Linked DNA regions of Macaca fascicularis. The protein of the gene in region 1 binds, or shares a complex with, the protein of each later gene. Links are inferred from orthologs where the notes say so. Each region holds a gene or a part of one and is shown in the gene's direction. Other genes may lie near its edges.

Region 1 (4,392 bases):
CCCAAACCGGCTGGGGACACCACCCCCCCTCCCTGCCTTTTCTCCACGAGCGCGTCACTTCCGGGATCCGGCGTCACGCGTCACCGCGCCCCCGCGCCCCGCCCCCTAGCTCACCTAGCTGGGCGGGGCTCCGCGGACCAGCGCAGGTGGATTTTGCTGTGCCGAGACAGGCCTCACGGGTTATGGGGACAGCGCCTTGTGGGTCCCCATTATATAGGTGGAAAGGGACAAACAGGCCCACCTGTACGCGCCTCCCGAAGTGCGCTCCTTCCCTAAACGTTTTGGGAGCTCCTGGGACAGGAAATACGGCAATTCGTCCAGGCAGCGCAGAAACAAAGAGATAAATATGGTAACGCGCACCTACATTTCCAAGGACATTCTTTAAGCACGCATAAATTAAATATGTAATAGGTGCTGGGACCTAGTCATACCCAGGTGAATAAAACGCCCTCCCCCTCGTATCTCTATGAGGGAAGAGAAGAAAATTTTAAAATAGAAATATCCTCACCACTTCATCCTCCCAGTACATGAACTAGTTCGTTAAAGTGAAACGTTCGAAGGAGACACCTTCCTCTCTTTAGGCTTTCCTCTTAGTTTTGGTAAGATTAACCAAAATGATAGAAAAGTGTCAGACTTGTAGAAACAAACCTCAATCTTGAATACTTGCGAACTGAAAAAAAATCATTTAATTGGATAGAAACTATGTGTGTTTTGTTCCCTGGTACTAGCACTGTTTCTAAATCGAAGTACGCAGTCAATAGTTGTGGATGAATAAATGAATTGGATAAATTCTGCTCAAGCTAGATGACTTTTTGTTGTTAAGGTGCTTGCTGAATGGAGCGGAAATGCTAGCAATTCCACGTACACACAGACCCGCGGTTTCGGGCCAGTTGAAATACACAAGGTTGAGTCTTGCCTGAAAGTTTACCAATCCCGGGTAGCCTCATTCCACGACACCGCCATACAACGGAACTGAGTTTTCTCCCGATCCCCCAACTTTACTCTGAGGGGTTAACGAAGGGATTAACTGGTATTGAATTTTTAGACAGGCGAAAAGGAAAAAGTTATTTAGTAAACAAAACTGCGCTCCTTCACAAGTGCTGGTTTCCTAGCTAGGAGGATCCATAGTCTGAGCTCTTTACGTCCAATTTTCCCGCTTCCCACTGTCGCCAAACCAAAGTTAAAATGAGTCCTCTAGTCCTCTACGCGCGCCTCAAAATGACCCCTCAGGAGAGCGGTAGGGGTGATGTCATCGCTGCGCGACGACAGGAAGTAAGATACTGTCCTGTGCAGCTCGGGGTTCCGAGCTTCTGCCTCAGACATCGCCGCGATCTCCTCTCCCCTCCAATCCTATCCGTGATGGACGATGCCCGCGAGTCGCCCTCCGACAAAGGTGGAGAGACAGGGGAGTCGGATGAGACGGCCGCTGCGTCCGGGGACCCGGGGGCTACCGACACGGATGGAATCCCAGAGGAAACTGACGGAGACGCAGATGCGGACTTGAAAGAAGCTGCAGCGGAGGAAGGCGAGGTAGGAAGAGATGTATCGATGAGGCTGAAGGAATACCCAGAGATCGTGTTACTGGGTGCTTGCCGGGCTTCTGGTTAGTCCCTCCCAAGTTACGAGAACTCGAACTCACCAGAACTCCCTCCAGATCGTTAATCTTGAGGGGGAAGAGAGCGGACGACCAAACAGAACTCCAGTGCTGGTTCCGTTCCAGAGGCTCAAGCACTGCGTTAATATTTTTAGTCTTGTCAAGGGATTAAAGCTACTTCTAAGGGAGTTTTAATAGCCTATTGGCTTTAGTGGTGAGGAAACTGGGATCCAGTGTCACACTGAGACGCAGTGCAAGAGCTAAAACCCAGGATTCGTAGCACCCCTTTCACCGCAATATGGTTCGTCTTAGATGTTAAGACAACTTTGTTTCTTTATAGGAAGGAGGGTCGATCAAACCTGTCAAAGGGAGATAGACTTTTATAAAAGTGTCGCCCGGGCTGTAGTACAATGGCGCGATCTCTGGCTCACTGCAACCTCCGCCTCCCGGGTTCACGCGATTCTCTTGCTTCAGCCTCCCAAGTAGCTGGGATTACAGGCTCACACCACCATGCCCGGCTAATTTTTGTATTTTTATTAGAGACGGGGTTTTACCATGTTGGCCAGGCTGGTCTCGAACCCCTGACCTCGTGATCCGTCCGCCTCGGCCTCCCAAAGTGCTGGGATTACAGGTGTGAGCCACAGCACCCGGTGATCAGGGACCCATCAGTTGGGTCTGGTGTTTTTATGCTACAGAGAGTTCAGCAGTGTTGCCTAGCTGAACATTGGTCAGGACCAGAAACTCATCGTTCTCTGGATTACATTTCTGGAAGTAGAATCTTGGGGTCTTAGAGCTAGAAGGGATTTAAGAGATCGTGGGGTGAACAGTAGATTAGATGGAAATAGCCTTTCAGTGTATAAAGTTGCATAAAAATATATAAAGTAAGAACTTTTAGAAAAAGAGAAAATTTGGCCGGGTGCAGTGGCTCACGCCTGTAATCTTTGGGAGGCGGAGGTGGGTGGATCGCCTGAGGTCAGGAGATCCCCAATATGGGGAAACCCTGTCTCTACTAAAAATACAAAAATTAGCTGGGCATGGTGGCAGGCGCCTGTAATCCCGGCTACTTAGGAGGCTGAGGCACAAGAATCGCTTGAACCTGGGAGGCAGAGGTTGCAGTGAGCCGAGATCGCACCACTGCACACCAGCTTGGGTGCCAGAGTGAAACTCCGTCTCGAAAAAAAGAAAAAGAGAACATTTGACAAAAGTATTTTAAGGCAGGTTTCTTTTTTTGTTTTTGTTTTTGTTTTTGAGACTGAGTACTCGCTCTGTCACCCAGGCTGGAATGTGCAGTGGCGCGATCTCGGCTCACTGCAAGCTCCTTTAAGGCAGTTTTTGTTGGTTTGTTGAGACAAGGTCTCACTCTGTCACCCAGCCTGGAGTGCAGTGGCACAGTCTCTGCCTCCTGGGCTCAAGCAACCCTCTTATCTCAGCCTCCGCAGTAACTGGGATTGCAAGCATACTGCACCACGCTCAGCTGAAGTTTTTGTATTGTTTTGTTTTGTTTTGTTTCGTTTTTGAGACGGAGTCTCGCTCTGTTGCCCAGGCTGGAGTGCAATGGCGCAATCTCGGCCTACTGCAACCTCCGCCTCCCAGGCTCAAGTGATTCTCCTGCCTCAGCCTCCCCAGTAACTGGGATTACAGGCACGTGCCACTGTGCCCAGCTAATTTTTGTATTTTTAGTAGAGCCAAGGTTTCACCAAGTTGCGCAGGCTGGTCTTGAACTCCTGACGTCATGATCCATCTGCCTCAGCCTCCCAAAGTTCTGGGATTATAGGCATGAGCCACCGCACCTGGCCAGCTAAAGGTTTTTTAAATATTGTTTTGGTAGAGACAAGGTCTCATTATATTGCCCAGTCTGGTCTCCAACTCACTGGGCTGAAGTAATCCTTCCGCCTCAGCCTCCCAAAGTGCTAAGATTACAGGTGGGAGCCACCATGCCTGGCCAAGAAGGAAACTTTAAAACAGGTGTCAAGGACAGCAAGGATTTGAATAATTAGCTTGGTACACTAGAGAGCTCACTACATATATAAATTTGCACCGAACAGAGGATAAAATTATGTTGTTTCTGAAACACTTTTAAAAATCAATCATGTACTAGACCATGAAGAAAAATATGAATTCTTAAAAGTAGATATCATAACAGGCCACATCTTGTTAATGCAATGCATTAAACTTGAAATTAACTACAAAAAGCTTCTCCCCCACCAAAAAAGAACCCCCTGGAAATTTTAAACTATTTTTTAAATAGCCTTTAGACTAAAGAAATTAACAGAACACTTTATCAAATGATATGGGATTTGGCCAAAGCTTTATTTAAAGAAAAATGTATAGCCTTACATATTTTTATTAACAACCAGAAGATACTGCAAATAAGCACCTGACTCAAGAGACCAGATAAAGGGCCTAGTGGAGTAGGTCACACCTACAGACCTAGCTACCTGGCAGGCTGACACGGGAGGATCACTTGAGGCTGCAGTGAGCTATGATCCAGCCTGGGCAACAGAGTGAGTCTGGGGAAAAAACAAACAAACAAACAAACAACAGATAAAGAACAAAATAAATCAGAAGAGTGTAGGAACAAGGAGTTAATAAGGATACAAGTAGACACTAATGAATTAGCACATTAAAAAACATAAATGATAAAATTAAAACCTGATTACTTAAAATGTAAATGTACATTAGAAAATATGAAAGGCTATAGGCACTAATATGGAGATCTTTAAAGCTATAAAAACATTTAATGTTCAAGTTTAGGCCAAATAAATGGGAAAATCTGAGAAAAACAGGTGAATTTTTAA
Region 2 (4,487 bases), on another chromosome or scaffold:
GAGCAATTTTTATACTGAAAATTAAAGTTTTCCTAATTTCAAATTACAGTTGCAGTTCTTCATTTCCAATATTTCCCAAAAAAGTAAAATACCATGAATTCACTTGCTGTGGACGAAGAATTTAAGTCTTACTGTAAAATTTTTGTTTTCATTTGAACACGTTATTAGAACATTTCTTGGTAACACTGTGGTTTTCAACCGTGTTTTCAAATGCTTAAACGTTTATGCAAAACTAGTGAATTCAACAATTTTAAGTTAGCCAGAAAAAAATTTTAAGGCCTACAAACTTATACACCGGAAAGTATACCGGACTATTTTACAGTTTGGAGGCACACATAGCCTATAAGCACCCCGACACACTAGAAAACACATTGTTCAGCCCTCCGCCCCAAATCGTTCGGGATTAGAGACTGTGACGTTTCAACAGATACACAAGTGGGAAAAAACCACCTATTTGAGTAAATATAGTTTGCAGCTCAAAATAAAAGATGCAGACCAGGGGCCGGGCGCGGTGGCTCACGCCTGTAATCCCAGCACTGTGGGAGGCCACGGCGGGAGGATCACCTGAGGTCAGGAGTTCGAGACCAGCCCGGCCAAAACATGGTGAAACCCCATCTCTACTAAAAATGCAAAAATTAGCCGGGCGTGGTGGTGGGCGCCTGTAATCCCAGCCCTTCCGGAGGCTAAGGCAGGAGAATCACTTGAACCCGGGAGGCGGAGGTTGCACTCCAGCCTGGGCGACAAGAGTGAGACTCCGCACCCCCCCGCCAAAAGAAAAGAAGACTACTGTCACGGTCAGGGCTCTATTCACCCTTGAAAACAAGATTGACAATTACCTCCTTTAAAAAGCAAGTAACTGTCCCTGAAGATGCCAGGTTCCTGAAATGAGATGTCAGAGGCAGACCTTCAAGACTATTCCTAGCCGACCCACCACCACCCCACACAGTGAACAGGGTATACCAAGCTCAAATATTCGTTCAACGTAATCCTATAATCAGTGGGGTGCCGGGTTGAGCTCGCAAATCCCCGCTGCAGGACAGGGCTTTGCACCCTCAATCTTCTCATCCCCAGATGGGATGGGCGGGTCGGGAGGAGGAGCGACGCGAGCCCAGGAAAGCTCGAAGGCAGAGATAGACTCGCGTCTCTAAGACATACACGTAATATAGCCGCAACCGCGGCGGCCTTACTTTCCCGGAGTTGCATCCCCTTTTGGGCAAAGAGCTGAGGCGACCGGGGTCTAACCTACGTGAAAGGGCAGCCACCTGGCCCTACCCGGGCTCAACGCCGAGCCTCTCGGAGGTACGGCCTCCCGGGGACCTTCCAGACTGGTCGGCGCATCAGCGACGCAAGCGAAGGGCGGGGACCTCCGAAGGAGTGTGTTACTTAGACATCCAGCGCACTGCCTGACCCGAAGTACCGACCCGAGTTACGCCCACCCTCCAACTTTGCGATGGAAATGTGTCATCGAAAGCCAGGTAACCAGTGGGCCGCGGCTGGGTCGCAGGGACAGGCTAGGGGCGCCGCGGTGGGCCTCGAGGCCCTTGGGGCCGTGGGCTTTTGCTGTCGCCCACCCCTTCCGGCTCCTCCCCGTAGAGCAAAGGGCACGTGAGCTAGGCGCCCGGAGCCGTCGCCGCGGGGACCATGTTGCTTCCGAACATCCTGCTCACCGGTCAGGGCGCGCGGCCGGGAGGGGATGGGCGGGGGCAGGTGAGGGGCGCGGAGTGTTCTGGGCATCGGGCGCCCAGGTAGGAGTTTCTCAGTGCCGTCTTCGGAGGCCTGCAGAGGGCCACGAGGCGGTTGTCAGCGTCCCGGGAGCCGACCCTCACGGGCGTTGCGGCAGGCGGGGGAGGGGACGCGGAACGTTATTTCCGTTGGCCCGAGGCTCCCGGGGGAGGTGAAGAGAGGTCGGCAGATCCAGCTCTTCTGCTTAGCAACCCGCTTAGTCTTTCGGAATCTGGTATTTCGTTTGTAAAATGGATTGTTAATTCTTTGGCAGGGTAGGCTTTGAAATTTTCAGGGAAATAAGGCCATATCTGCTTCCCAGTAGTGCCATTAATGGTGGATTCCTCACTCCTTAGGCCTCCGTGGGCCGTATTTTATTTTTTCCTTTGCTTCTGATAAACGCCTCAGATTAGATTTCGGTAAATGAGTTCAGATGTTTGTGGCGTGACGAAATTACTGTATGCTTTTGTTGAGTTACATCAGAGGCTCCCCCCGCCCCTTAAAAAGAAGGCATCTAGTGAGCATTTCGGGTCGTTTCTCGCGTAGGAGTGGGTCTTTGAAGCCATACTCAGGGTGCGTGTTATCAGTAAAGGGAACTAAAATGCTGCAAAACGACTTCAACGAATATTTTTGCTAGCCGTTCAGTCCTGAAAGCGTTTATTAAATTGTAGGCCATTCGTGGAAAAATCTAATGCATGTAGATTTTATTGTAGCGTACAGAAAAATTAAGACTCTGTGGAAACAGTACAGTTACATCATTCACCCAAACGTAAGATTGTTGGCAGCGCACAAGACATGTCTGTTTCTGAGAGATGCAGATTAACCACCCCACAAATAATGTTTAGCATTTTAGATTCCTTAAGCAGAAGATTTTACATCTTTTTGTATGGATCAAACATAGTGCCCTGGTTATTAAGTCATTGTCAAAACATTTTATTGAAAATGTTTTGACAATAAAAGTGAGCATTTTATTGAAAACATGTTGAGTCCAGACTTCAGACTTGGTGTATTATAGTGGACTTGGGGTGGCTGTTATTCTCCTAGATAAGGGAACTGGATTATCCCTGTTATCTGTATGCTCAAGTTTAATTTCAGGGATGTTAAACCTGAATAGCTGAAAATTATGAATTTGATGATCTTGAAATGTAATTATAATAGGTATCATAAGAGGAAGGTAAAGAACAATGTATATAGTATTGTCATTTATGTACAAGGGAATATATATTGTATTTATTACAAAGAGTATGTACATACATACATGTACATTTATATGCAAACATAAATAGGGTTTTTTTGGGAATATATACCTGTATAGGAAACTGGTTTACAGTGGTTATCTCTAGGGAAGGGTGCAAGGGGTCAGTAGAGGTAATACGGTGTCTTTCAGACTGCTTAATTTTTTTTTTTTTTTTTTTTTTTTTTTTGAGACGGAGTCTCGCTCTGTCGCCCAGGCTGGAGTGCAGTGGCCGGATCTCAGCTCACTGCAAGCTCCGCCTCCCGGGTTCGGGCCATTCTCCTGTCTCAGCCTCCCGAGTAGCTGGGACTACAGGCGCCCGCCACCTCGCCCGGCTAGTTTTTTGTATTTTTTAGTAGAGACGGGGTTTCACCGTGTTAGCCAGGATGGTCTCGATCTCCTGACCTCGTGATCCGCCCGTCTCGGCCTCCCAAAGTGCTGGGATTACAGGCTTGAGCCACCGCGCCCGGCCAAGACTGCTTAAATTTTAACATGAACAGTTTTTGTTTTTGTTTTTGTTTGAGACAGTCTCATGTTGGCCAGGCTGGTGTCGAACTCCTGAGCTTAAGTGATCCTCCCACCTTGTCCTCCCAAATTGTTGGGATTACACGCGTGAGCCACCACACCTGGCCAATGAACAGTTTTTAAATCTTTTTAAATTAAAGCAAATAGGCCAAGCAAACGAGCCTGTAAATTAAAGCTCATGCCCGTAAATCCCAGCACTTTGGGAAGTGGAGGTGGGGGGATGGCTTGAGCTCAGGGGTTTGAGCTTAGCTTAGGCAATATAGCCAAATCCCGTCTCTACAAAAATTAACCAGGGCATGTTGGTGCATACCTGTGGTCCTAGCTACTGGACAGGCTGAGATAGGATTTGAGCCCAGGAGGTGGAGGCTCCAGTGAGCCAAGTTCCACTGCACTCTGGCCTGGGTAACAAAGAGATATCTTGACTTTAAAAGAAGAAAAAGGTTGCCGGGCGCGGTGGCTCAAGCCTGTAATCCCAGCACTTTGGGAGGCCGAGGCGGGCGGATCACGAGGTCAGGAGATCGAGGCCATCCTGGCTAACACGGTGAAACCCCGTCTCTACTAAAAAATACAAAAAACTAGCCGGGCGAGGTGGCGGCGCCTGTAGTCCCAGCTACTCGGGAGGCTGAGGCAGGAGAATGGCGTAAACCCGGGAGGCGGAGCTTGCAGTGAGCTGAGATCCGGCCACCGCACTCCAGCCTGGGCGACAGAGCCAGACTCCGTCTCAAAAAATAAAATAAAAATAAATAAAAAGAAGAAAAAGGTAAATAAAGTATTGTAATTGATTCGAGGTGGCTAATTTTTTTTTTTTTTTTTTTGGAGACGGAGTCTCTGTCACCACGCTGGAGTGCTGTGGCGCGTCCTCGGCTCACTGCATCCTCCAACCACCCGGTTCAAGGGATTCTCCTGCCTCAGCCTCCTGAGTAGCTGGGATTACTGGCATGTGCCACCACGCCTGGCTAATTTTTGTATTTTCATAGAGATGGAGTTTCACTATGTCGGCCAGGAT

The links. Proteins that work in one complex are often made in the same cells at the same time.
Region 2: TAF11 (region 1) and TAF9 share a complex: the UniProt entries of both Homo sapiens proteins name them as parts of the TFIID basal transcription factor complex. The link is inferred for Macaca fascicularis from reciprocal best matches to the Homo sapiens genes TAF11 and TAF9.

Annotation. Positions count from the first base shown.
Region 1 is NC_088378.1:136,805,516-136,809,907, forward strand, and holds the start of TAF11 (transcription initiation factor TFIID subunit 11), read left to right. Parts: upstream 1-1,274; 5' UTR 1,275-1,359; coding exon 1,360-1,530; intron 1,531-4,392. UniProt on the Homo sapiens protein: The TFIID basal transcription factor complex plays a major role in the initiation of RNA polymerase II (Pol II)-dependent transcription.
Region 2 is NC_088380.1:75,041,602-75,046,088, reverse strand, and holds the start of TAF9 (transcription initiation factor TFIID subunit 9), read left to right. Parts: upstream 1-1,580; 5' UTR 1,581-1,641; coding exon of another isoform or gene 1,642-1,669; intron 1,670-4,487. Other genes in the region: AK6 (adenylate kinase isoenzyme 6), read left to right, coding at 1,642-1,669. UniProt on the Homo sapiens protein: The TFIID basal transcription factor complex plays a major role in the initiation of RNA polymerase II (Pol II)-dependent transcription.